Caenorhabditis elegans: one gene and its partners. The protein of the gene in region 3 interacts with the protein of the main gene of each other region in a pairwise test. Each region holds a gene or a part of one and is shown on either strand. Other genes may lie near its edges.

The links.
Region 1: the proteins of sta-1 (region 3) and lpd-5 interact in a two-hybrid assay, tested with the Caenorhabditis elegans proteins (one large-scale study listed by BioGRID).
Region 2: the proteins of sta-1 (region 3) and col-80 interact in a two-hybrid assay, tested with the Caenorhabditis elegans proteins (one large-scale study listed by BioGRID).
Region 4: the proteins of sta-1 (region 3) and nadk-1 interact in a two-hybrid assay, tested with the Caenorhabditis elegans proteins (one large-scale study listed by BioGRID).

What each region holds. Positions count from the first base shown.
Region 1 is NC_003279.8:4,370,073-4,376,175, forward strand, and holds lpd-5 (NADH dehydrogenase [ubiquinone] iron-sulfur protein 4, mitochondrial), read right to left. Parts: upstream 2,947-6,103; coding exon 2,797-2,946; intron 2,695-2,796; coding exon 2,498-2,694; intron 2,452-2,497; coding exon 2,268-2,451; 3' UTR 2,183-2,267; downstream 1-2,182. Other genes in the region: pdp-1 (PPM-type phosphatase domain-containing protein), read left to right, coding at 100-201; ZK973.9 (SS18 N-terminal domain-containing protein), read right to left, coding at 531-622, 827-1,340, 1,944-2,039; cec-10 (Chromo domain-containing protein), read left to right, coding at 3,592-3,741, 3,791-4,132, 4,179-4,364.
Region 2 is NC_003280.10:10,705,664-10,708,787, forward strand, and holds col-80 (Putative cuticle collagen 80), read left to right. Parts: upstream 1-1,537; 5' UTR 1,538-1,558; coding exon 1,559-1,696; intron 1,697-1,743; coding exon 1,744-2,559; 3' UTR 2,560-2,624; downstream 2,625-3,124. Other genes in the region: col-39 (Cuticle collagen 39), read left to right, coding at 1-297. UniProt on the Caenorhabditis elegans protein: Nematode cuticles are composed largely of collagen-like proteins. The cuticle functions both as an exoskeleton and as a barrier to protect the worm from its environment.
Region 3 is NC_003282.8:16,661,166-16,672,371, forward strand, and holds sta-1 (Signal transducer and activator of transcription 1), read left to right. Parts: upstream 1-3,154; 5' UTR 3,155-3,156; coding exon 3,157-3,465; intron 3,466-3,561; exon of another isoform or gene 3,562-3,582; intron 3,583-3,837; exon of another isoform or gene 3,838-3,858; intron 3,859-3,941; exon of another isoform or gene 3,942-3,962; intron 3,963-4,044; exon of another isoform or gene 4,045-4,061; coding exon 4,062-4,406; intron 4,407-4,419; exon of another isoform or gene 4,420-4,440; intron 4,441-4,602; exon of another isoform or gene 4,603-4,623; intron 4,624-4,798; coding exon 4,799-4,926; intron 4,927-5,049; exon of another isoform or gene 5,050-5,070; intron 5,071-5,090; coding exon 5,091-5,328; intron 5,329-5,356; exon of another isoform or gene 5,357-5,377; intron 5,378-5,496; exon of another isoform or gene 5,497-5,517; intron 5,518-5,703; coding exon 5,704-6,350; coding exon of another isoform or gene 6,351-6,387; intron 6,388-6,497; exon of another isoform or gene 6,498-6,518; intron 6,519-6,563; exon of another isoform or gene 6,564-6,584; intron 6,585-6,765; exon of another isoform or gene 6,766-6,786; intron 6,787-6,823; exon of another isoform or gene 6,824-6,844; intron 6,845-7,039; exon of another isoform or gene 7,040-7,061; intron 7,062-7,249; and 27 more. UniProt on the Caenorhabditis elegans protein: Carries out a dual function: signal transduction and activation of transcription. Activated STAT proteins play a role in repression of dauer formation.
Region 4 is NC_003282.8:1,454,172-1,462,013, reverse strand, and holds nadk-1 (NAD(+) kinase), read right to left. Parts: upstream 4,940-7,842; 5' UTR 4,931-4,939; coding exon 4,835-4,930; intron 4,788-4,834; coding exon 4,699-4,787; intron 3,792-4,698; coding exon 3,073-3,791; intron 2,860-3,072; coding exon 2,651-2,859; 3' UTR 2,493-2,650; downstream 1-2,492. Other genes in the region: col-106 (Nematode cuticle collagen N-terminal domain-containing protein), read left to right, coding at 1,228-2,118.

The DNA of each region.
Region 1 (6,103 bases), on a different chromosome or scaffold from region 3:
CGCGCCGAGACCCATCTGAATTAATCTGTGCGCCTTTAAGTAGGCACGGTGAAAGATTGTAACATTATGATTTTTTTTTAATAAAAATTATTTTTTCAGGTCCCTCCCGGCCGAGCACGTAACTATCGTGACGACATCACTGTTATTGTGATCCATTTCAATGAAACCTTCCTCGACGGTCACGAAGACGATGAAGAATAACTCTTAAAATTAATGCCATGCACACATTTTTATAGTCTTTACTGGTATTATCCCTATTTTAATTTTTGTAATCTCCCCTCTGTAGAGACGACGACTTTATGCCAAAGAGTCTCCCCGGTCTTTGTCTAGGTATCTTTTCTTGTATATAATAGTTGCATTTATTGTTAATTGGTGCTCAAGATCAATGATTCTTTTCTTTTCTCACATCGAAAAAAAAACATACAATCACAATAATTTAATGATTCAGTTAGTACATATCAAAGTGAGACAAAGGAATGAGATGTTATGTTTGACAATTTGGTGAAATTTTGGAGTTGGAGATCTGTCGATTATCGCATGTATCCTGGCTGGGCTCCTGGTGGAGGATATCCTTCGTATCCGTGTGGTGGTGGTGGTGGACCTCCAGGATATCCAGGCATTCCTGAAAGAAAATAAATTTCAGTGAATTTATAGTTTGAGGTGCAGAATCTTTGAGATTGGATTGGGATATAAAAATTTCAGAATTATTTTTAGAATGTACAAAAAGGCCAAAATTCCCCTGAAGTTTTTTTTCACCAATTTTTATTTTTTCGGGAAATTCTGGGAATTTTTTAACTCAAATAAGGTATTTTTCCACAATAATTACCTTGCGGCGGGTAAGGATAAGGCATTCGCTGTCCACTCATCTGCGGTGCTGGCTGTCCAAACGGTGGATACACAGGTGGCGGAGCTTGTCCATTAGGCTGTTGTTGCTGCTGCCGCATTTGTGCTTGATAAGCTTGATGATTCATCATCTCGGGTGGTACACCACCACCCATTGGCGGAGGAGCAAATCCGTGAGGCGGCTGCATTGGACCACCTGGACTTGGTGCCGCCTGTGGTGGCATCATTTGTTGACGATGGTGAGCGGCAGGAAGTCCTTGTTGAGGATGTGGATGGCCTTGTTGTGGTGAATGTTGTGGTTGTTGTTGTTGGAGATGTGGTGCCGGAGGACCAGAAGCTCCGGGTTGAGGCTGTTGTTGGTTAGGATCTGGAAGAGCGGCAGCAGCGGTACCATCATCTTTCAGCTGGCTTAGAAGGAATGGGTCTGCGAGATTTGAAAGATGTAACAAGTTCCGATGTAAAAGTTGTTGGTGTTTGATGGCTTCGTCAGCACGGCTCTGAAATGATTTTTTTATGATTAGAGGAGGAGTAATCGGTGCTCGAATTTCGAAATAAATTTTTAAAAAACGAAAAAATTCCATTAAATCTGAAAAATCGTTTGAATTACCGCTCTATGGTCTCTAAACTCCGCCCATGGAGCCATTCCGCACTTCAATTTTGAGGCAGAATTTTTTGTGTTTTTTTCTAATTTTTAATGAATAAAAAGGTCATAAACGTTTTTTTTTTGTATTTAAAAATTATTCAATAGAAAAAAAACATTGTTATTGTAGAGCTCTATAGAGTTCCGCGAAATTTAACAAAATCGATACGATTTTTTAAAAACAATTTTGCACATTTATGACGTATTTCTTTATTAAAAATTAGAAAAACAACACAAAAAAGATAAATTTGTGCCAAAATTGAAAAGTGCGACACGGTTCTATGGACGGTATTTATAGACCATAGTGCGGTAATTCAAATGAGGAACAGTTGAAAAATCGCCAAAATCATCTTTTTTTTCATACTTAGCAATTTTTACGATTTTCTTTTGTGGTATTTCGGCATTTGGGAATAGTGAGTATTTTAAGGTACTCCTTTTTTGCAAAAAAAAACAAACAAACCTGATTTAAATATTCCTGTATAATATCGATCAGCCTTGAGTTTTCATCGAGTAACTTCTGCACAGTTGACTGTTGATCTGGAACATTTGTTCGCATCGCTGGAGGTAGATGTGCCGTTGACATCTGGTGATTTATAAGAAATATAGAAAATAAACAGGGAAATCAAATTTTAAAAAAATACAAGTTGGATATTTTTGAAACCAACAAGAAACCAATACAATAATAGTTTTCAGTACAATATCGAGATAAATCTTCATTTTCTACACAAAAAAAAACAAAATCTAAATAGAAGCGGTTCAGTTTACTTCGTCTTTTAATAGAAATTTACTTAGTTCCAATTCTGGTTCTTCTGTTCCATGAGAAGTTTTGTCCGTAATTCTTTGGCTTAATCTTGCGCTCATGTGGCTCCTCGACGTCAAACTCCCAGCGATTCTTTTCACAGAAAGCGATAGCGTCCTCTTTTGTGGCAAACTTGAGATCCATTCCAACATTGGAGAGTGGATCCGCACTAAATTTTTTTTTTAAACTTTAAACTTCATTAAGATGCTACTCACGTTCCAGACCATCCCATCAATGGATTTTCCCATCTTTGACGATTATCCAGCTCAATGGTCCAGGACTTGGTATTACCCCAAGCACTTTGTGTAGTCTCTCTTGCTGGACGGAAGATGCGAGCGGTACGGGCATCTTGGTGATCAAGTGGAACACCTCCGATATCCATTGTCTCATCGGATGATACTTTTACTGGAGTCTGAAATATTTATTTCAATAAAAATGTCAAGTATAAACAATTTAAGTGCAATTCGCTGAATTTCGTGTATTAAAACAGGAAAAATCAACATTTAAATCTTACTTTTTGAGACGGTTTGTCAAGAATATCGTTGAGCTCAACCTTTTTGGCATCATGCGATCTTGTGACCGGTAGGTTGTCCTTTCCAGTCGAGAGGCAACGGAAAGCCGTGTTTCCCGCCGAAAGGCAACGAGAGGCTCCAGCACGAAGCATCTGTAAATTACTCCATTAATAAATAATTTAAAATTACAATACTGTGACGGATTAGAAAAAATAGAAAAGAATATTTAATTAAAATCAATAAATTGAGAGGAAAAAATATGAAAATAAAAAAAATGTTCGCGTTTTCAACGACACTCCGGTATAACGGTACCGCGTGTTGTTTATCGTAAATCAGATGTTTTTTGAGCTGAATTCATTTTTTAATTCGTTCATAATTTTAGGTCTAAAACTATAATTCAATAAAACTATAATTCAATTTAAACCATACAGATTGTTCTTTTACATTTAATTAATCAATTTAAAAGTATTTCCTAATAGAATTTCTCATAATTCACGAGACCCCATTGTGTTTTGATTTTTTTGACAGCTAGTGCTTGTACGAGAACACATACCATTCCCTTCTTGTGACTCATGTCACTTTTAATATTTATCACAATGATTGCCTTACAGTCTAAGTACATTCTTCACCCTTTGTCTCCCGTTGTAATATCCTTTCTAATTCTCTTGTGAGCTGTTCTTCTGACCTCAACCACCTTTTAATGTTCTTGGATAATAAACTTCATGAAAATTGTCAGTTTTTACACTTGTAACCACTCTTAAATTACCGCTTTCACAACACTTGTTTTAGTTTTCAGAATGTCAAGCTCCAGCGAGACCCAAGTCAACGTAGACACTGAAGAGGAAAGCTCGGTTCAAACATTGGAAGAATCAGAAGAAGATGAACAAGGAGGTGAGGAAGACGAAGAAGATGAAGAAGAAGAAGAAATAGACGAGGATCACTGGGTGGTAATACTGCAATTTGACTGAAACAGAAATACATTCAACTTTTTTTCAGGTCGAAAAAGTACAAGAAATGCGGTACAATGGAAAATTGAAAAGAGTCGAGTTTCTCGTTTTATGGCAAGCTGATAAATCGACATCTTGGGAGCCTATAGAAAATTTTCATGGTGGATATGAAAATTTGGAGATACAAAGATTCCAAACAGAGCATCCTAAACGATTTGAAGATGTCACTAATAAGGCAACTGTAGCAAATAAGAAAGGGAGACCGAAGAAGCAGCAAACATGGATTACAAAAGATATTGACGATGATATATACGAGAAGCCGGATGAATCTGCGCAAGGAGAAGCCAAAAGGCTGGCTGATCCGAATAGATTGCAAGATCCATCTGAAAAAGTACGAAATTGTTCTTAAATTTTCTAAAACCAAAATCGTTTTTCAGTTCCTAAAAACCTATGGCGTTGGAATCGAAGGCCGTGTGTCTCGTAGTAAAACTCGAGATATTCGTCGTACTATAGAGATGAGTAGCGCCGATTCATCGCCATCGGTCAGAAACCGGTCTCCAGTTCCAGTTGAAAAAGAGAAGAAGCAAAAGAAACCGCGTGGGGGAAAGAAGAAAGAGGCCGAGGTGTGAAAAATTGAAAACAACCCCCTATAGCGAGTTTTAAACGTCAAATTATTGAAAAAAAAAAGCCCAATTCCCAGAATAAAATATCAAAATCTTCACGAATTGGGAGAGGAAAAATTATATTTCTTCTCTTCTCCAGAAAAAATATTTACTACAGTAGAAATTAGTTTTTTTCTAATTTTTTTGTCGAATTTACCGAAAATTTCTAGGTTTAAAAATTAAAAACGAGTATTTCATTAATTTTACAATCTTTAACGTTTGTAGATCAAAGTAATAATATTTGATCATAATCTGCAACCCGCCACTTTTCATACTTTTCGGGCGGATTATGCATCATATTCATTCTCTTTCGTTTGTCATTCGCGCTTTTAATTATAACACAGGCCTGATTAGAAAACCCTCGTGCTCCGCTCCATCGAGCCTGATTCCTTTCACTTTTTTTTTGGATAAATCTCAACGAAAAGCTTTCTATTACGGGTATCGGTTCTTTTTTCCGCGCTTTTGTAGTGGAAATAGCGAATAAATTTAGGAAAAATCGTGCCTGAGAGTTGCAAAATTAGGATCTGCCTCTTTTTCTGTGCGATCCGAATTTTCGCAAAATTTACAGATCGATCGTTTAATTTTAACAGTACGAAATTCTATTTGGTCAATAAGAAAAAAAAACTCAAAAACCCGTGAACTTTCACGTGGATTCCGAGCTGCACGTGTGTCATCCACATGGCAACGCACTTACCTTATCCTCTTCTCATTCAATAAAATCTTTTTTGCTTCTTCATACATAAAATTTTCACTTTTCGTTCATAACGTCCACCTGCTCTTCATTTCATACGAAAGTCTAATTTATACATACACTCAAAATAATAAAACTGCGTGGCGTGTACTGCAGAAAACCTAATATTTAGGCCCCGCCTTTTTTCGTCCACTCACGGGGAAAAGGCAAAATTCGGGGACCAACCAATATCAGGCCGCCGACATCTCATGGGTTCCGCGCGCCGCTATGTTTAACTCGCAGCGGGCGGAGACAGCTTGCCACACCCACAACGAGTTAAACATAGCGGCGCGCGGAACCCATGAGATGTCGGCGGCCTGATATTGGTTGGTCCTCGAATTTTGCCTTTTCCGAGTGGACGATAAAAAGGCGGGGTCTAATTATGAGGTTTTCTGCAGTACACTCCACGCAGTTTTATTATTTCGAGTGTAGTGACCCGGAACCAGAAAAAAAAGAAATGATAGATTTTTCTTTGTCCTCTCCGTGACATCAAATTTTTTCGAGAGGGTGAAAAAAGAAGAAATTCACACCCTCCTTCCTCTTTTTTCTTAGTCATCGATATGTTAGTTTCAATAATGGATATTTTTCATGTTATGATGCAAATCGTGGATCGCGTTGCATAGCTATATCTATAGATACTCATTAATCTCATTTTTCCATGCCGCATTTCGATTTTTAAAAATATCGCCTCAAATTCTTCGTTTTGCTTTTAATTTTGAAGTGGAAAAGAGATTTTATGGCTAAAAAAATATTCACTCTTTGTATAAAATACTTAAAATAATTGTTCTCCATGATTTCCACAAGTTTTTTCGTTGTGTGCTGAGTTCTGTAAACAAAAGTAACGAAATTTTCGAATTTCCATACAGAATTCAGCACACGGCGCTGGAACTTGCGGGAATCACGAATAAACATTATTTTAAATATTTTAAAAATAATTGATTTTGTTATAGTCAGAATACCTTTTTTTTAA
Region 2 (3,124 bases), on a different chromosome or scaffold from region 3:
TCTGGAGGTCAAGGACAACAAGGACCAGCAGGACCAGCCGGACCAGACGGACAACCAGGACAGCCAGGTCAAGATGGACAAGCCGGAGCACCAGGAAACGATGGAGCCCCAGGAGCCGATGCTGCTTACTGCCCATGCCCATCCCGCAGTGGATCTTCCTCAGCAGTTGAAACTGGAGCTGCCGAGCAGGGATACCGTCACCGTGCTGTTGCTGCTCGCCACCGCAACGTCATTCGTCGCCGTGTCGCCAAGAAGCGCGTCGTCAAGAAGAAGCGTGTTGTTGCCCGTCAAGCTTAAATGACCATTCACCTATCAACTCATTTAATGATTGAAATTCGAATAAAACAGTTTTCTATATTTTTTCTGAACTTCGCAAGATAGCAAAACGGTTTGATTTAATGATCTTCTTACTAAAAATGAGAAGAATGAAAGAGATAATAAAGAAAATCGGAAAGGTAAAAACAACTGCCAAGGTCACTAACTTTCTATTTCTTTGCATCCATCCAACTTGAGAAAAAGGGAGTGGAAAGAGAAAAGGAGTAAATCGGAATAAAATGAACAAAGAAAGTGTTACATTTTAGATTGAATCGGACTAGAAAAAAAGAAGAAAGAGATGGAAGTTTACTGCAAAACGAAGAAGGAAATGCCTCTATTGTGAATGCAACTTTTGAATAATAGAGCAAGAGAGCAAAATAAGCCACGTGGGGGAGCTAATGAATAGGAACGGAACTAGACTTTTCAAAAGAAACTTTTTCTGTGTATTGACCGATTGACCAAACTCTGTGGGAATATCTGGGGGATAGGGACTTTCAGAAAAAAAAATCAGAAATGCCTTCATCAAAAATCTAGTGAGTTCACTGTTTTTGATACTAGGTGCTAGATGTTTTGCTCTATGCAGATTTGAGGTTTCATAAACTTCATTCTGTACATCAAACGTATAAATCGTGGAATCGTGGCGAGACCCACTCGGAAAAAGCATGTCCCTTTAAACTGACATGTCAAAATTTAACAAAATTACGATATCATTCGAAGCTTCTAAAAAATCGGAGACGCGCAAAACGGAAATTTGCGATTTTGCATATCAATCTTCTAATTAGCTGAAAAATTTCCTAAAATCTACAATTTCTTCTGCCAGACTGAAGTTAAACCTTGATAACATTTGCCCGTAATCGTCAATTACGGTTTATTTCTGCAGAAGAACCAACGAGATACCGATCATGAGTCTCTCGTCGTGGTCATCGTCACGAAGCAATGAACTGATCGAAAAACGGACACAACACCCAAAAAGTACTTTTTCGGTTAGTAAAAAGTTATTGAGAATGGCAAAAGTTACTTCCTCCTGTTCGGTAAAAAATGTCTGGGTTTCCACGAAACGCATGCCAACTTGTTAGCAACATCACAAAGCAGTTACACAACACCTCTGGATCGCTTTCTCTCGTCGCTTCGAAAGTGTACACTCTATCTAATCAGAAGACAAAACCGAAAAACAGTTTCACGTAGTTTACCGGTATAAAAGGGCTAGTTGCTTACTGTCAAACCACAGCAGTCGTTTGCGAGGATGTCGACAACCTTCCTTTCGGTAATGGCCGGTTTATCCGGTATTGTGGTCTTCGGAGCTCTTATCTCCGTTTTCCACATCTACACCGACATCAACTCCTTCGTTGATGAGGCTCATCGTGAGCTCGGAGCTTTCAGAGTAAGTACCATAAAAATACTTTGTTTCAAAAGCATTCATTTTTCTAGGGAGTTGCTAATGATGCCTGGAACTCGATGGTTAATCATGATGATTCTGCCCGTGTTGCCCGTAGCGTCTTCGTTCGTCGCCAAAAAAAACAATCCCAATGCAACTGCGGACCACAAGCCTCCAACTGCCCAGCCGGACCACCAGGACCACCAGGAGCTTCTGGAGACAGAGGACTTGACGGACAACCAGGACCAGCCGGAAAGCCAGGACAACCAGGAGTTGCTGGACCAGCTCACCACCAACAGCAAGAGTGCATCAAGTGCCCACAAGGAGCACCAGGACCAGCCGGAGCACCAGGAAACCCAGGACCACAAGGACCAAACGGAAACCCAGGAGCACCAGCCCACGGAGGAGGCCAAGGACCACCAGGACCACCAGGACCAGCTGGAGACGCTGGATCTCCAGGACAAGCCGGAGCCCCAGGAAACCCAGGACGCCCAGGACAATCTGGACAGCGTTCCCGCGGACTCCCAGGACCATCCGGACGTCCAGGACCACAAGGACCACCAGGAGCCCCAGGACAACCAGGAAGCGGAAGCACTCCAGGACCAGCCGGACCACCAGGACCACCAGGACCAAACGGACAACCAGGACACCCAGGACAAGACGGACAACCAGGAGCCCCAGGAAACGATGGAGCCCCAGGATCTGACGCCGCTTATTGTCCATGCCCAGCTCGCAGTGCCGCAGTTTTCCGTCACCGTAATGTTGCTGTCAACCGTCACCGTGCTGTTGCCAAGAAGCGCGTTGTCGCCAAGAAGCGTGTTGTCGCCAGAAAGCGCGTCGTTGCTGCCAGACGTCACGTTCAAGCATAAAGCAATATATCCTACCAAAGTAGAAATTCCTGATAGATTTTTGTCGAATAAACTCATTTTCATTATCTGTAATTTGATCTTGCAACACGAGCCCTTTCAAATAATCGTCGATTTCTTATTTCCCTTTCACTCATCACTTTCGCTAAGCAAATCGAACGCGGCGCATGGTTTTTTTTAGTATTCTGGTGTCAGCGGCGGCACGGACATTGATGAAAAGATAGGAGAAGATAATCAAGTCGTCGCATATCTGAATTATCGCTATCACCTCGACGCGTTCATAAAAACTCTGCGAATCGAGAACGGTAAGATGCAGGTCAAGAAAACCGCAGAAAAAGCAGTCCCGGTGTGGTCGAAGGAGGAGGAGGAATCATGAAAAAGCAACGAGTGGGATCTCGAGATAACCGCTATTTTATCCACAACGCTACTCCGTCGTTAGCCGCTCGTCTCTCAAATTCAGCGATCCTTATCCAGACATCCTTCTGACACCTTTCTGACATTCATATAGACTGCGGTGACTGGACCCTAAGATCTATAGACTAAAACCACCCAATCCGGTCTTGTAGGT
Region 3 (11,206 bases):
ATCAAAATATGTAAAACGAGTTTCATTTATGAAAACTTGCTGAAACCGTAAAAATTTACAATTACTTCCACAAATTGTATATTGTTAAATTCCACACAGAAGCCAGTTCTTATTAATTTGAAGCAAATTTTAAAAATATAGAATGCTATTTAGAAACAGTAAAAAATTTCGAATTTTCACAAAAAATAAAAAACATGATTCTTGTGATTCTTTGCTGCAGAAAAAAACGAAAAATTACTAAACCCCATGTATTTTCTCAGGACCTTGAAACATTAGCTGATTTTTCAAAAACTCAGAAAAAAATCGAGGTTCGAGATGATTCACTTGCCTTTTTCTACGTGTACGTCAGGGCTTCCAGGCAGGCGCAGTTTCAGTGCCTGCCTGAAACCTGCTCGCCTAACGCCGGCCTTTTACCTATTTCATGCGTTTTGGTTTGATTCAATTTTTTTGAAAATCAAATTAAGAAATTAAAAAAAAAAGAGTTTTCATATGTTTCAGCATAAGGTGCAGGTTGAGGCAAGAGGCAGGCGTAGGCCACCTTAAGGTCAGGCAGGCAGACGTTTTGACGCCTACATGGAATTTCTTTGCCGAATTTAAAATTTTAGTTTACTGAACAAAAAATGTACTGTTTCACGTATTCCATGAATTTCCATATTTTGAAAACGTGATATTAGGACACATCCCAGCCTGTCTTACTATTAGCCACCGAAAAACGTAAATTTATGTCTTTGGAATACCAATTTATATGTTTCTAATTTGAAACAAAATACTTCTTCGAAGTGTTACAAAATTGAAAAATGAATTCTTAACATGAAAAGAAGTCACAGCACGGCCGAGAATTTATTCGATTAACATTAACAATCTGAAACAGTCAATTTTTTTTGTCCAATTTTCTAAAACTTAAAGTTTTAACACTTTAGTAAGAGAAAAGTCAATCTGAAAATGAAAACTGCATTTCTGTCCTCCACTAATTGTTAGCTGGGAATTCTCTCTGAAATTCCTGATTTTAGTATCAGAATCTATTTGTCGATAGTGGTAAATCAATAACCCGATCAAAATATGCAAAACGAGTTTAAAATTTAATAACTTGTTGAAACAGTCAAAATTTCGCTAATTTAAAACGAGTAAAGATTCTGTATTAATTTAAAGCAAAAAAAAAAACAATTTGAAAATATTAAAAACCAGTTAGAAACAGTAAATTTTTTATTTCTCATGACCATGAAACATAAGCACATTTTCCAAGTTGGAATGCTCTGTAAAACGAAATAATTGATAGAAAAATTTCAATTTATATCTAACTGTAAATGACCCTTATTAGGATGTAATACAGAAGGATAATCGATAACAATTCATTTTCCATATTGAATATGAGTAACCTGAAACAGTAAACTTTTCATCCAACTTTCTGTAAATTTTGCTGTGCCTTTTGTGTTATTTCAATTAAAAATTGCCATTGATACTTGACTTATCTGAAACAAGATACATTTTTTCTAAAAATTTGAACTTGTAAGTCTTATAAGCTCTATTAATTACCTAGTTTGAACAAAAAACGAAACTTCAGCTCACTAACTAGTGAAATCGAACTTCGAAGTAATGTTTGACAATTTTTGCTTTCCGACAATAGCAGCATTAAACTTGAAAAAAATTTAAATATTGAGAAACATTATTCGATTCATATGTAAGCAATCTGAAACAATATATATGTTTTCTAAAATATTATACTACCTTCATTTTCAACACTGTATTACCCCATTTTATACATTCAGACAATATCAGTAATCTGAAACAGTATTGTTTTCTTCTCAAGTTTGAAATCTTTAAGGTTCCATATAGAAATAGCCCCAGTATAATTTTTTTTTCAATTTCTTTTTCCCGGTATATTCAGATTACTTGTCAGATTGTTATAAAATTTCCAGACTCTAAGCCAATTTTAAAACACGCAAAATTATTTCAGCTTGGCCGAAAAAAAATTAAAAAAAACTAAATTTTCGGTTTCAACACCACATTTTATAATCCTCAAAATGCTAGAACAGTAGTGAGAAATAATAATAGAACTTCATACACTCAGAATAAAAAACTGGAATAAATCTAGCAACGTATAAATAAAATGTTGGTATTTTTAAAGACAACTTGAAACAGTGGAAAAATGTTAAAATTTTCCAAAATTTCCGTCAAATCGTCGTTCACCCAAAATTTGAAAATTTTCCAGATTTTTCAAATTGTTTTCCAATAAAAAATATTTGAATAAAAACCACAAAAACATACATACTTTCGAACATTTTTAGAACATTTGAACAGTAATTTGTCGCGTCGAGACCCGATACAGTAATTTTCGCGCAAAATTTCACGGTTGGGTAATACAAGTAGAACCTTAAATGTTCATGTTCAGCTCATTTTATAATAACTTGAAAAAACCACTACTGTTTCAAAATTAATTTGAACGATTTTTTTTTTGAAAAAAAAAACATATTTTTCTCTAATCCCTCAATAATATCTCCATTTTTTTCCGTCCCCCCAATCATCACAGATATCAGCTGAGACAGGGGAAAAGTGGTGTGAAAACACACAAGTCTCTGCGTCTAGCGGTGTGTAACACTGTCTGCGTCTCTGTGCTCTCTTTGATACTCTCTCCCGTGTGTGTGTGTGCTCCTGGAGCTCTTATACATTTCCAAGTGTTTCTGCTCTCTGCATCTCTTGCCCATTTTCCGCTTTTTTGAGCCAACAACTTCTCATTAGTTTTTTCCTTCGAGTTCTTGTGCAGAGCCACGGCTCTTTCAACAACTCGCACAAATTGAAAGTTTTCGCAATTTTTTCTTGCATTGCACGTACATATTTTCTTTTTTTTTTTCATAATTATTGATGAAAATGAATATGTTTTGTCAAGCGAATATGCTACATTGAAAGTTTTCAGAAACAGTGAAAAATCAAATTGAAATTAACAAAATCTTTCAAAATTTAATCACTTATTTGAAACAGTAAAAAATTTTTTAAAGTATACGTCGATTCTGAAAATACACTGAAAATGAAATAAAATTCTTGAAACTGTAAAAAAATTTTTAACCAATTTTTTTTCACAAATTTTTCTTTGAAAACGTTTCCTTTTTATTACCTCCTTGTCTTCCCATTCCCTTCATTAAAAATCTGAAATTTCCAGACATGATGGGCTCATCGTCGCAAGAGCTTCAAACAGCTCTAACCGACGTCTCAAAGACCTGCCATCACTTGTGGGAAGAGAATAAGGACCTCCAAGGCAGATTTGTGAATGAACTCGGCGAGCTTCAACGTCTGCAAATGGTCATTGCACAGCTGGAACAGCAACAGAGACTAGAAAATGTATTCACTGTGAAACAGCAAATGACAGAGTTACAGAAAAGAGCAGCCACACTTTATGAGCATTTGACACAGAAAAGAAATGATATTGTCATTAAACTTAATGATGGCACCAATTTTGCGACGATGCTACAGGTTGGTTCTTCTAATGTGAAAAAATATGAAAAAAACATAAAAAAAATTTTACTGTTTCAAAGTTTTGTGAAATATGAATTAAAATTTTTTACTTTACTTGACTGTCGAAGACCATTTCCATTAAAAAACTCTAATACAAGATTTACTTTTTTGAAAAATCCTTCAAATTTTGAAGAATTTTGCATGTTCAGTAAATTCATGCTAAAAATATTTTTATTCTTTTAATGTTTCAAGTGAATGTTTTGTTTAAAAAAAGCATTAAGAAATCTTTTAATATGAAATTACATCAAAAATGAACTGAAATACAAAAATTAATTAAAAATTTAATGTTTCCCATGCATTTCATATATTGAACGCGCGAAAATGTCATACTTTAAAACTGGCCTGCAATCTAGCTCTCTTATCTGAAAAAAAGTTAGTTATAATATTTACAGTTTCACACTTTTATCAAATTTAATCTTTTTTTTCCTTTTACATTGATTTTGCATAAAATTTGACAATTTTTTTTAAAGAGAAATATTTTTAAAAAAATACTGTTTCACAGTTTAATCAAATTTTCTATGCGTTGCAATATTTTAATCAATCTTCATTTCCAGACCCAACTAATTGGCGAAAAGCTGTTCTCCTGGAAAAATGCCCAAAAACTTGCCCAAATCGGAATGCCTTTCGATAATCGCGAACAGCTGCTTGATGAAATTCAAATTGAATTCGAATTTCTCGCTGATCAAAACTGGCAGCTTAACATGTTCTCGTGTTGGATGCTCGACTTGCTCCGACGTGCTCCACAGTTAAATGATGGGCTCGCTCAGGCAACAATTGGAAAGTTGACTGCAATTACAGAACAATTGAACAAATTACTTTTTATGCTGGTTTCACAGAGTTTTATTGTTTCCGTTCAACCGGAACCTGTTTTGAAGACTCAACATAAATTTGTCACTGAGGTTTGTTTTTTAATGGAAATTATACATGTCAAATTTTGGTGGGTCCCGCCGCGAAAACCACACCGTCGTGACGAGACCCAACTTAGTTAGAATTCAAGCAAATTATAAGAAACAATAAAAAAAAATTCAAAAATTTTAATTAAAACTTTACCGTTTCAAAAGTCATTCAAATAAATATGTAAGTCATACTCAACAATTTTATTTAAGAAGTTCAATTCGAATATAATGTGTGCCACGCATTTGTTCAGCTTGAAAATTTCTGGGTCCCACCACAAAAACTACAGTTCCACCCCACCTAATTTTACGGGTTACTGTAGTTTCCGCTGTGGGACGCAGCAATTTCAGAATCCTGATTTTTCAATAAAATTACAAAAAAAAACTAAAATTTCCAGGTCCGTCTTCTCATTGGCGATAAGCTGGGAATTCGTCAACACCTGGTGAACACAAATGTTTCAGTGAAAATTATAGCAGAAGATGAAGCCAAGCAGTTGAGTGTTGACTATGATGCACATAAGGAAATGTGAGTTTTTTTTAATGAAAAATTTGAAACAGTAAATTTTTGAAAAATTGAGAAAATTTTTTTTTCTAAAACTTATACTTTTTCGTATTATTTTTATATACTTTTCTTATTTTTTGTGGTTAATTTGTAGTTGTATCACTATATTCAACACTAATATTTTTCAGCCGTAACAACAAGACAGTTGGCACAATTTCCAATGATTTCGAGAAGCTCACAATGAATGAAAGAGGACACTTGGCGGCAAAATTCAATAATTCAAAATTGACAAGAATTGCACACAGAAAACCGCCCCCAAAAGGAGCATCTGACTTGAAATGTGCAGCAAGTATGCAGGCAGCTACTGATCAGAAATATGCTCTTTTATTCTTTATTACACCTTTTCAAATGGGTAATTTGAGCAAAGTAAGTTGTTGATATTTCAATTATGACTTGATTTTTTTTGAACGTAGTCAGTAACTCAAACTCAAATGCAAAATCTTTTAAAAACAACGTGAAACAGCAAAACATTTATTTTTTATTTTTTCACTGTTTCAACAAAAAGTTTAAAATTTATTTCAAAATTTGAGTCTGATAAACGAACAATGGTTGAACCAAACATTTCCAACATTTCTTTCGGTTTTCACTTTGAATTACTGAAATTTTCTAACTGGATTAGTAAAAGCAGTAATTCTATATTCAAAAAAGTGTAAAGAAACTTGAGAATTTTCACTGTTTCAGCTACTCTTAATTTTCAAAATTTAATATGTCCTCCAATTTCTATCAATTAAAATTTAACAGGAAGAACAATTCGACGTTTGGACACTTTCTCTTCCAATAATGGTTACAGTACACGGATCTCAAGACTGTGACGCGCAAGTTGCAATTCTCTGGCACCGCGCATTCGCCTCAATCAGCAGAAATCCAAATACAACTGATGTGACAGCTGTGACATGGGACAATCTAGCAATAATGCTTCGAAACAAGTTCTCCTTATTCACGGGAGCACGTCGTCCACTTTCAGATTCAGATTTGGCATATTTAAGTGAGAAAATGTTAATGCCAAATGTGGCAGATCAGAAGCCAATCACATTTCATCGATTCGCAAAACAGGCAATGAGAGATGACTTACCATTCTCATTTTGGGAATGGTTTTTCTCAATAATGCAATTAATCAAACAAAAACTGCTCAAATTCTGGGATGAGGGATGGTGCATTGGATTTATTTCAAAAAATGATGCGTCTCAAAGTATGATGATGTGTCAGCACTCTTCATTTTTATTGAGATTCTCTGACAGTCAAACTGGTGCTGTATCGATTGGTTTTGTTTGTGAAGAGGCTGATGGACAAAAGATTCCATTTCATTTGGCACCTTTTACTATTAAGGATTTGGATCAATTGTCACTGGCAAGTCGTATTGCTTCATGTCCACAATTGAAGGATATTCGGTTAGTTTTAGACGCGAAAAGTTTACCATGTTGTTAAGTATGCTTAGTTACGGTCAAAAATGGAAATGTTTAAAAAAAATTGGAAAAATGAAAAAAATTATACTGTTTCACTAAATATTTTATGTGGTTAAGAAATTGGACAAAAAATAAAAAGTTCAAAAATACTACTTTTTCATTGAAGAATCATAAATAGCCTCAATTGCAATAGTTTGATATTTCTGTAACCACGAAAGTGAATTGAATTTTCACGCGATTACTGGGACGTAAGTATCGTACCTGCCTACGTACCTGCCTACCGCCTATTTTCTGCGCCCTGGCGGGAAATTATGTGATCTATGTTCTCACCGTCCAAAAAAAAAAAAACTTCAACTGTTTCACTTAAGAATTATATAAGTTGTTCCTTCTTTTTTTAATGTTAAGAAAATACTCCTTCATCTTTTCTAATTATTATAATTTGATTAAACTCTTTTCAATCAGTGATCAATTTAAACAAAAAATGTTAAAATTAAAGTCAGAAGTGCCAAATAAAAAAAAAGGGTAAATAAAAGTTAATTTTAGGAGTGAAAACTTAACAAGATGTTAAGTTTGTTCAGTTACAGTAAAAAATAAGTGTGAAGAAAATTGAAAAAATGAAAAAAAATTATACTGTTTCACTAAATACTTTTATCATTTGGTTTGAAGTTATTGCATTCTTATTGCATTCTCTTTCATAACAACAATTTTCGGGTCTTACCACGTTTTGAAACCTTTGAATTTCAAAATTTTGCTATGAAAACTGGCACATTTAAACAAAACAAATATTTTTTATGTGGTTAAGAAATTGGAAAAATTTGAGAAAAAGTTCAAATTTTCTACTGTTTCATTGAATAATCATAAATAGCTTCAATTGCAATCGTTTGATATTTCTAATCTTTGTGAATCACCCTGAAAAATATATATAAATAATGTTCACATTTTTCACATTCACATCAGTACTAAGAAATACACCTTCTTGCCTTGTGCTTACCTACCTACCACCTATTTTCTGCGGCCCGGCTGGAAATTATGTGATTTATGATTTCACCGTTCAGGCTGAAGCACTTTTGATAATATTTCTGAACGTGGATATAAATTATGTCAGCAGTTATTTTGAACAAAATTAACAAAAATTTGAAAAAAAACTTCAACTGTTTCACTTAAGAATTATAAAAGTTGTCCCTTCTTTTGTTAATGTTGCAATTCCGAAATACTTATTACAACAAATGCATCATTATAATTTGATCTAAATCTTTTGAAACTGTGATCATTTTACAAAAATATTCAAATGAAAGTTAAAATTGCCAATTTAAATAAAATACAGGAATTTAAAAAAATTTTTTTTTTTTCTATTGTTTCACTAAATAATTTTATATGGTTTTTTTCATTGAACGATATTGAAAATGGCATCAATTGTATAATTGTTAAATACACTTTTCTCCGTACTTTTTAGGTCTCATCACCATCTCGATACTGTGATTTTTAATAATTTATTATAAGAACTGTCAGCACAGCAGTTTTGAACAAAAAGTTTCATTTCCAAATATTTCATTTTTCTACTGTTTCATTGAATAATTATTAAAAACATCAGTCCCATTTTTCTGATATATTTTTTAAAAATATTTTTTGGATCCAATTAGTAAACATCATGAAAGTACATGAAATGTTAACATGAACACTTTCTATAACTGGACACCTCCTGCCTGCCTACCTACTTGCCTACCGCCTATTTTCCGTTTTTACTCCAACTGTAATTTTTTGAATTTTCTCGTTATAGGCAAAAGTGGGTTACAAATGACACTTTTTAAAATTGGATAATAACGGTGTGAAAATAGAATGAATGCAGAAACATGCGCTCGTGAATAATAACTAACTGAAACTGGGTGGAATTTTTACTAAAATAAAATCCGGAAATTGTGAAAACTGCACGGAGTAACTCAAAAAACTAATCGTTTTTATAAAAATTCTAAGGCAAAAAAGTTAGCCTGTCTGCCTACGGTGTAATTCTTCAAGAAAGTCAAATTTTGAAATTAGTGAATTAAAAAAAAATTATGCTGTTTCAGGTTGTTGATAAATTATCGGTTAATTTCTAACATCAGTAAACATCTCACATCTGGTCGAAAGTTTGAAAATATTAGATACAATCGATGTAAGGGCTGCTATGTTGGGCCGAAAATTACTGTTTGACTATAGGCAAGCTACGCCTGACGTGTGCCTTCTACCAGGGGAAGAATGTGTTTCATTTCTTTGCCATTAAATTAATTGAAATAATAACACTTACATTTAAATTTTCGGCTTAGTTGAAACAATGGTAGGCAGCAATGTAGGCAGAACGACTTGCCTACCTACAGCTTCAACAAGGCCTTAGCGCCTACTTAGAAAGCCTGATGAATTTAAAGCAATTTATTTTGGAAAAATGCCAAAGCATGTTTCAAGTTGTTCATTTTTCAAAGTCTAATATTCAAAAATATTAGTGAATCACTCAGTTTTTTTTTGAAAAAAAAACAAGGTCTCGCAACGGTTTATAATTCTTATTTTACTTTGAAAAATAACCGCCAGCCTATTAAAAATACGAATTAAAAAAAAACGCAAAATGAAAATATTTTTCTGTTTCACTGAAAAGAGATAAGATCATGGCTTAGAATTCGGACAATGCCTCTTCAAAAAATGACAAAAAATGTTTCAAATTGTCTATTTGTAAATCATGTTTCTGAAAAATTTAAATTTTTCCAGAAGTCGCAGATTTTAGAGTCGAGACCCAATTTTTAAGGTTTGACAAAACATTGACTTGAGCTGTAATCTCTCAAAATACATTGTAGACATGTAAAATGTGAAAATGTTTCTACCAATAGAAATTGAAATTAGAAAACAACAATTTTTCTCACAAATTCTTGAAACAGTGAAAAATTTTTTATTTCAACCGAGTTAATTAAGGTAGCAACACATAACTAACAGCGTTCCTCTTAACTTACAAATTTTGAAACATGAAATAAAAACCTCTAAATTTCAGATACATGTACCCGGCAATCGATAAAGAAGAAATGCTGCGTTTCTTCGAGTCCGAGGAGCGTCATCGCGTGGGCGGTGGTGACAGTCCAACTGGATATATTCAAAGTGAAATTGTCATGGTTGCAAAAACAAATGGGTAGGTTACAGATGGAAAGTTTAGAAATTCGGTTTATTTTAGGAATTTCAGACGAATGTCCAATGCACCGTCCATGTTTGGTGCAGATTCTCCGTCACCGTTGTCGGTTCAAAGCAAATTGGATTGGTCACCCGGGGAGGTTCATCAGAATCATATGATGGAGATGTGAGTGATGTGTTCAAAAAGTTTATGCGTTCGGGGGGAATCGAACCCCCGTCGAATGCTTGGAAGGCATCCATGCTGACCATTACACCACGAACGCGGCGAGAAGTCGCTTTCTCAGTGGCCGTTATCAAACTAATGACATCTCATCTAAAGTGACATTCGATAAAGAAATTTCCAAAAATTACAAAATGCGCTCCAATGCTAATTCCACTGTTTTTTCCAGGTCCGACGAACTTGGTCAAATCCTAACAGTCTCGGATATGTCGGGAGATGTAGAAACTCTATTGGGACCAGCATTCAAGAATAATATCACAAACTACAATCCACACGATGGAAATCATCAGCATAACCTTCATTTTGTGGATATGTCCCAACAGGGAATGATGCAACAGCACCACAATCAATTTTATCCCTCATAAAACACTATTTAAATGTTAAAACAGTCCCCCCAATTACCTCTTTTTGAATTTCTCTGTCTCCAGTTTAGTATTCATATCTTTGCTTCTTTCGTGCTGTCCATCTTCCTCAATTCTTTGATAATCTAATATTATTTTGACAATATTTACTGAAAATAATATTAATAATCACAAGTGATTTCTGATCTCATCCAATAAATTATTTTACTGTAAATCGAATGTTTTGATCTGTTCCACGATGGAGACAGGAAGCTAGAAAGTTTCATATAAGCACGTGATTCTAACCAAAAAAAAAAAATTAATTTTACTGTTTCAGGAAAATGTTATCAGTAAATGCAATTTCTAAATATCGATGGGGATCAAGAGCACGATCATAATTTAAACTGTAGGAGATGAAACTGGAGAAGTCGTGGAATTGAGATGAAAGAAAATAGAATAGAACTATTGTCTTCTCACTAAAGGAAAACTGAATTTTCAGACAAACATAACAGAAAACATGACATGTTCAATAACTTTTTCAAATATCTGTAAATGGCAAATCAAGCCCCGGGGATCAATTTCAGTTCTCTGCTCTAAAATATTTTCATATCATTTACGTTTTGCAGCATGGAGATTTAAAAAAAAGTAATGAAAACTATTGTCAGTTTTGAATGAAAATCATATATGTACTGTATAAAATTGCTGAAGTTTTGGATAATTATTAAAAAAATTCAAGACTCTTCAAGTTTATTTTCAAAATGTTGAAGAACTCTCTATCAGTCGATTTTAGATTTCAGTTATTTTCTCAAAGATATTGTGAGTTGAACGCATTCAAACACATACAAAAATATACAACTGTTATTAAAAACTCAAAGAAAATGTAGTTTTATAAAACTTTTAATTTTGAATAAGAAATTTCTATAAATGCATGTGAATTGATTGAATTAAATATCTAATTAAATTTTCAAACATTCTAGGCAAAGCTGTAAACGACAAAATCACGAAAGCATTAGTAGCTCAAATGTATTGTGAATAAAAACCTGTTGAAACAGTGGAAAATTTTTTGAAAAATTGTTTTCTTGAGTTGGAAAATTTGTGTAGCTCCTATTGCGTATATTCTCTATACGTATTTTGAA
Region 4 (7,842 bases), about 15 Mb from region 3:
ATTCTAGTCCTCCAACGTCGTCCATAACTTGTAAACTGCGCTCCGATGTTCCAAATGATTGTGAAAATGCTTATTTTGATTATGTACGGGTTTGAAAATGAAGAATTTCTCTGTTTTTTCGACATTTTTTGATAGAATCCTTAATATCCATTTTTATAACCAGGTAAGTGTCGGCTGCTAAACTTCTTCAGATGTTTTTTTTCCACCCGGAAAGTGTCGGTTACTCAGCCTCTGGTAATTTGCTGGTTCTGTCTACGCGCACGTCAAATGCCAGCTGCTTAATGACTGGGGATGTCTCTTCCACTAGAACAGATGTCGGCTGCTCTGTGATATCCCGCTAGGTGTCGGCCGCTATAATCTCTGAAAAAATAAACTCAACCCGCCAAGTGTCGGCTGTTACCTGTTGCTGTAAACGTTTATTTGAATATCTACCCGGCAAAAGTCGACCTGCGTGATCTCAGGAGAGGCCAACCGTTTGCTATAGACCCTTTAAGTGTCGGCCGCTACTAGCACCAGAGATGCCGTTCTATCAAAACCCGCAAGGTGTCAGCTGCTTAGTCCTTAAAGATGTTAAACAATCCCGGCAGTTGTCTGCTGCAAACCCTTTAGAGATATCGAAGCATAAAGTGCCAGGCACCTCCATGAATTAAGCGGCCACAATTATTCCGGACACATAAAACGGCCGACATATCCCTGGATCCATCACGCGCTGTATAATGACCCGAAAGGTGTCGGATGCTTCGGGGATTCCAAACCCTAGTGCATCCCCATCTGGAGCTCACTTCAGTGCACCATGACCACCAGAAAACGAGGAAGTCGATGCACCATGAGTAGATTGCCTTGGATTTTAGAGATCCATGAAGTTTCCAGAACTAAGTAAACTAATTTTAAATTTCTGCGTGTTATACAAATGCCCAATGAAAAATTGAAAAATTCTTCTATTCGCTAACAATGAAATTTGTTCCAATCAATCCAACTTCCCCTTCTCTTTCTGTTCTCTTATCACGGTTACAGCAAGACATTTTTTGCGTATAGGTTCCCCATGGAAACCGTCTTGAAACCGGTTCTTATCATGGATTCGCAGTAAAGAGGCGGAACTTCTGGGGGTTAGTATATAATGGCACCTGATAAGAATGGAATTGGCAAAACTTTCCGACTTTTACTTTTCCTCGCAAACAATTAACTTTGATTCAGTACAATTTTTGATTCCTTACCATTTCATTTCAGATGGGCGCCTTCGGGACATTAGCATGTGCTTCCGCTACGGTCCTCACAATCGGATCCTTGGCAACGATGTGCCTTATCGTTTCCGACATCAATGGGCTTTACAACGACGTGATGGAAGAGTCCCGAACAACTCGTGAGGTTGCTGATGACGCCTGGGAGGAGCTGCTCCGCAAGAACGGAGCCCCTGAAGCTTCCCGTGCCGCTGTGACCGCCATGCTATTCGGAAGAAATAAGAGAAACGCTCAGTGTAACTGTGGAGCCAAGAGCAAGGGATGCCCAGCAGGACCACCTGGACCACGTGGACCAAATGGTGCTCCAGGACTTGACGGACCAGATGGGCTTGATGGACCTGATGGACATCCTGGATATGCTGCGGCAATCAAGGAGAATTTTGGAGGAGCTTGCATCTCTTGCCCAGCAGGACCAGCTGGACCACCAGGGCCAGATGGTTGTGCAGGAGAGCCGGGAACCGATGGCGCCCCAGGAGAAGACGGACAGAATGGAGCACCAGGATCCCCAGGAGGACCAGGAGAGACCGGACCACAAGGACATCAAGGAAAGCCTGGAAGAGCCGGACCACGAGGACCACCGGGAGCCAAGGGACAAACCTACCTTCCAGGATCAGCAGGACATCCAGGAAACAGTGGACGTCGTGGACCACCTGGACCACCGGGAGCCAATGGAAAGAACGGAAAGCAGGGAGCCGATGGAATTCCAGGCGCCGGAGGAGCACCAGGACAACACGGAGTTCCTGGAGTCGATGGATCCGATGGAGCACCGGGAGAGGATGCCGCGCCAGGTGGAGACGCTGCCTACTGTCCATGCCCAACGAGATCGGTGGCTGTCGAGGCAGCGCCATCGCAGGCAGAGCAGATCTACAAGACTCATTAGAGAGCTTTTTAATAAAGAATGTCGCATTTCAAATGGTTTTTGTGGTTTTTTTAGTTTCTGGGGTTGCGAAATGACTTCAGCTTGTATGGTTTCAGATTTTTCATATCAGATTATCAGCACTGAACGAGGTCTCAGCACAGGGAGTCTCGCCACAATGGGTCTTACCACGAAGGGTCTCACTGCAATGGGTCTCACCACGGAGGGTCTGGCCTCGATGGGTCCCGCTACGATAGGTCTCGCCACGATAGATCGCACTGCGGGGATCTCACCACGGGGGGTCTCACCACGACAAAGGATCTCGCAACGATGGATCTCTGAAATTTTGAGAAAATGTGCATTTGAAGCACATTTTTGAGACCATTTTATACAGTTATGAAAAAGTAATGAATTTATTTTTTTTTAATTTCAAATTTCAAATTGATGTATCACATAAAATCGTATAAAATCTATGTACAATTACGAATTCATAATTCACAAAAAAAACGACAACCCGAAAACCCGTACAATAAAAACAATACACACAAAATCATTGTTACACAATCACAGTTTTCAAAGCATCATTCGGATTGACCTCGATCGTGGCGACGGCGCCACGTGGGAACGGGATCTTTGTGGATCCGTCAAGGACCAGGTATCCGTTGGTGCATCGGGATTCGAGTTTGATCTTTCTGGCGAATCCGCGGGTCGCCGTGCGTTTGTAGGTGGCGTTGAAGATCGGCTCACGGATTGAGAAGGCGAAACCTGGAAAGTTAAAAGTGAAAGTGAGATAATGAGAAATTCTCAAATTTGAGTTTTCTGAAGCCTGACGATGAGGCCAGCCATGGGGTCCTTTTCTCAGTCCTTTTCCATGTCTGTGCAGGGTCTTATATTTGGAATTGTGTAATCAAAAATACCCCTGACATTTTGTTTCCAACTCAACAAACCCAAATTCCAATCAACTTTCAAAAAACTCACTAGGATGATCTGGCTCGAACGGGATCTTCTCATTCACCGAATTCACCACCTTCTCCACCAAATTCCTTGTGATCGGCACATCCACGCCAAGTGATTGCAGTGCCTCCAACACTGACGTCGTCGCATTCTCATCGATCCTGTTCATTCCGAGGTACCAACTCGTCGATCCGGTCCCAGTCGACACAATCAACCCGGAGGACTTTTGCTTGACTGTCTGCGAATCGTCGATGGAAATATTGTAGGTTGAGACTTTGGCGGCTTCATCCTCTCCGATGAACACCTCGTTCAGGGCGAGGTTTGTTGATTTTTCAGACCTCTTCAATGAGAAAATCGAGTTCCGGGATTCCTTTACTGTTACCCGTATCCTCGTCCTCTGCACCCACTTCAAGTTTCCAGAGACCAGACGCTCGATCAAATCGCGAGGTGGATTCTTGCCACCGACACACAGGTGTCCTTCACTTCCGATCGGGTCAGTGTTGATACCGATGATTGGGGTGTTGTCGTTGACCACGGAAGCTGCAGCCAAGAAGGTTCCATCACCACCGGCAGAGATCACCAGATCAGCTTCAGGCAGGTACTGGGCTAGCTGCTCGCGAGTCACAACTTTTGTGGAGATGCCTGCTTTGCCAAGTTCGGAGACAATTTCCTGCACTGCGTTTACTTGTTTCTTCTCGTTTTCGAGGAGCTCTTGAACCTTGGTGCCTTTTGAGGAGAGGTGCCTGAAAAGATTTAGTAGCTGGGAATATAGCCTGATAGACATTTTTACATTCAAATGAGGTCAGTAGACTTTTGTCAATTGCAGACACCATGGGAAAAATACACAGTTTCGGTTTTTAGCCTAAATATAATTTTCCAAATTTCTGTATGATAGGATATAGGTGAAGCAAAACATGGTGCATCGACCGGACACCTTATACATATTTTATATAGTGTTAATGTTATTAAAATTAAATTCAGGAAACAACCTATTGAATATGAACTTTAAGACATGGTGCATCGACCGAAAATTATCTTCTTTGGTAGCTCATATCTCTGTCTGTTTTAGCGTTATCAAAAAGTTGCTCACAGGCGAAATATGAAATATATGTTTTTCTACTATTTTGTAATAACAATTGTTTGAGTACCTAAAAGATGAACAAAGCTACAAGCTTTAGAAGTGGCTTGAGACATGGTGCATCGACCGGAACCAGCTTTGATAGCTTATATCTCATTTGGCTTTGGGTTTATCGAAAAGTTGCTTTCTGACAAAATATTTAAATATTTGATTTTCTACAGTTTTGTAGTTAAAAATTTTTTACTTTTTACTACCTATAAAATGAACAAAGATATGGACTCTGAATGTGGAGGAAGACATGGACATACATTATTGCAGTTTCAATTTTTTAGTATCTAAAAGATGAACAAAGTTACAAGCTTTAGAAATGGCGTGAGACATGGTGCAATGACTAGAACCAGCTTCCACAGTTTTTATCTCGTTGTATTTGGTTTTAAAAGAAAACTGTCAACTAATAAAATTATTTTTAGCTATGTGCCTATAGTATCTTAAAAATGAACAAAGATATGAGCTTTCAAAGTGGAGATGCAAAACGTGATGCATCGACGAGCAGCTTTGGTTGTAAAACTCACTTTTTCAGATCAGCATCGCTCAAGCCCGTCTGCTCCTTCTCCCATTGCCATCGTGTGCTCTTTCGAAGGATCAACGCAAACCGGATCGCCTAAAAATTTGCTCCAAAACAAGGCTTAAAATCGAAATTTGGCTCACCGGCTGCTGTCTGCTTCCGCTCGGTTTTCCTTGTGTTACCGGAGAAACTGGGCGCGCCACGTGGCTCACGCAGTGAGAAATTGCCAAAGCGGCCATGATGGACGGCTGGAATTATAAATTATTAGAAATTGGAAATGGATATTTAATGGAATCAAAAAAGAGAGAGAGAAAAGGTTAAAATATGATAGAAAAGCTTATCAGTTAGTTTTTTTTTCAGCCGCCTCATCACACACGAAAAGTCATTCGAGAATTCGCCAAAAAATCAACACAAATGGCACCATTATTTTCAAATTTCCAAAATTTCAAAATTTCAAAAATTTTTCCCGATTTATAAATAAACGGGGCTCCGCCTTCCGAACGTCTGGGCGCCGCCCACCGTTCCGGTAGGCTACAACAATAGAAATTGTGTGGGAGGTGGTGGTTTGTTCCCCTCGTGCTCAGATGTGCTCGCAATGTTTGATTTTTGAGGAGAAATTGAAAGTTGAGAATTGAGAATTGACACAAAGTAAATAAATGGTGTTGAAATGATACTTGACGCCATGATGGAATTTTTTGGAAAAAATGGTGTTTTGATCGGCTGGAGTATAAGGAGTATAAGTTTAAGCTGTGATATCTCTACGAGTAGAGGAGTTATCAAAAATATGCCAACTAATAAAATATAGAACTTTAAAAGTTGCGTATTTTCGTAGTTGGCAACTTTTTAATGGAGTTCACCTCCGCGGAGTTACAGACGCCTGGAGGTTCAGTGGTGAAGGGTGAGCAGTAGTGTCGAAGACTAGAAATCGTTGTAATTTGTTGGAAAGTGGATTTATCAAAAAACTGTTAAACTAGCAATTTATTTATCACATAAAACTGTACATTTTTGTAATTTGCAACTTTTTCATAACAGTAACCTCCGTTTAGTTACAGGCGCCTAAAGTTTGGTGGTGAAGCGGCAAGGGAGCCGATGAAGAGAGCTACTGAAATTTCTGCCCTTGTATCTCCTCGGAGAATAAATTTATCCTAAAATTGTTAACTAACAAATTATTTACCACATAAAACTGAACATTTTTGTAATTGTGAACTTTTTCATAAAACTACCCTCCGCTGAGTTACAGGAGCATAAAGGTTTAGTGGTGAGAAGTAGGGTGCCAATGGCTGAAGCTAGCACCCTCCGTATCTTGTCGAATAGTTGATTTGTCGCAAAATTGTTCATTAAAAGATTATTTACCACATAAAACTGAACATTTTTGTAATTTTCATCTTTTTCATAGCATTAACCTCCGCTGAGTTATAGCCGCCTTAAAAAAACACTACATGCTCAAGTTAACAACTGTTGAATAACTTTTACTTCGAAGGAGTTAAAAGGAGTTAAAAGTAAAAATACGTTATGAGAATTTGATTTTAAAAGGCTGCGGGATTCAGCTTGTGCTAAAACCTCTATACCTCGTCGAAAAGTAAATTTATCACAAAATTGTTAAATTACAAAATATTCATCTCATAAAACTATAAATGCAACCGAACGCATTTTTTGATACCACTCACTTCCACTGAGTAACGGGCGCCAAACCGTTCAATAAACAGTGCAAATGCTTTCTAACAGTCTGCGCCTCCACTGATTCCATTATATTTTTTTCTTCGGCAATTAAAAAAAAAGAAAAATGACCGTTTTCTATGCTGGGAGAACCAAAGAGAATTCGTTGAAAATCAATTTTCAAAACAAAAACAGCGGCGATGATTTCGAAACATACGATGTGACCAATGACCAAAAACTATAGAGCACGGGAGACCACAAAATTTTGTGTCCGACTAGAGAAATGGGTGAGAATGGGGGAAATTCGGAGTTTTTTATTAAGAAAATAGTAAAAATTCGAGTTTTAAATCTAGTAACTCATGAAGAAGTCTTATCAAAAAGGCTGCACAAATTACGCGATTGCTCTCCGCTCTTCTTGAGAACCAAAGAACCAAAGAACGCGTGAATGATTCAAAAGGGGGTATTTAAAGGCACATGCACACCGCCGAGACACAAAGAGACACAGTGTGAGTGTGCGCGTAGCCATGATGACAAATGGCTAGATTGCGACCTGACCCTTCTAAATTTTGTGCCCTGGGCTTCAGCAGGGCTTTATGGAAGTGATCATTGTGATATTGTAATACATTGTGACCACACAAAACTGAACAGCTTTGAGGGCTTATATCTTTGCTACTTTAAAATACAACAAGAAAAGTTTAACTGCAATGTTACAGAAAAAGATTTGAAAAATATTTTAGTAGTTGACAAAATTATGATAACCCCCTAGACAACTGAGATATCGATGCACCATGCTTTGCAAATCAACCACAGGAGCCTATATCTCTGCTATTTTCGAAGATATTGAAAAACTTCTAACTAGAAAAATGCTTGATATTTGGTTAGTTGACAAAATTTTGATCAGACCACAGGCAAGCGAAATTAATGCTAAGCGAGGTTTTTCTGGTCGATGCACCATGACTTGCAGCAAAGTTAATTTTGAAAATATTTAAAATTCAACTATTTACATATAGAAGTTTTTGAAATTCTTTCAAGCCATCTAAAAATACATTTAACTCCACGTCGTTTTGCCATGTGACCCTTCTTCCGGTGGTCACCTTGCTCAAAACAATAATATTTGCTCATTTATCTATTTATTGTCCACAATAATCCCACCGGTTCCAACACAGTACATATATTTATTTAAATGATGTGTCCTTTTGCCAAACCCCCGGTCTCACCTGATGTTGTCATCATCGTTATCACTGTACACATTTTTATGACCGCGTCTTGTTTAGAACGACCAAAATACACGTGAATGACACGTGGCTGACTACAAACTACAAAACAAGCACTAATTGACTACTGTCACTTTTTTGGGCACATCTTGTCTGATGTTTAGAGAGAAATACAAAATAGTTAAAAAGTTGTTATTTTGTGGTCTATAAGATCTAACATACAATTTTTCGAGTTGAATGAATATGGAATTTGAGTTCGAATTTGTCAAATTCGGTTAATA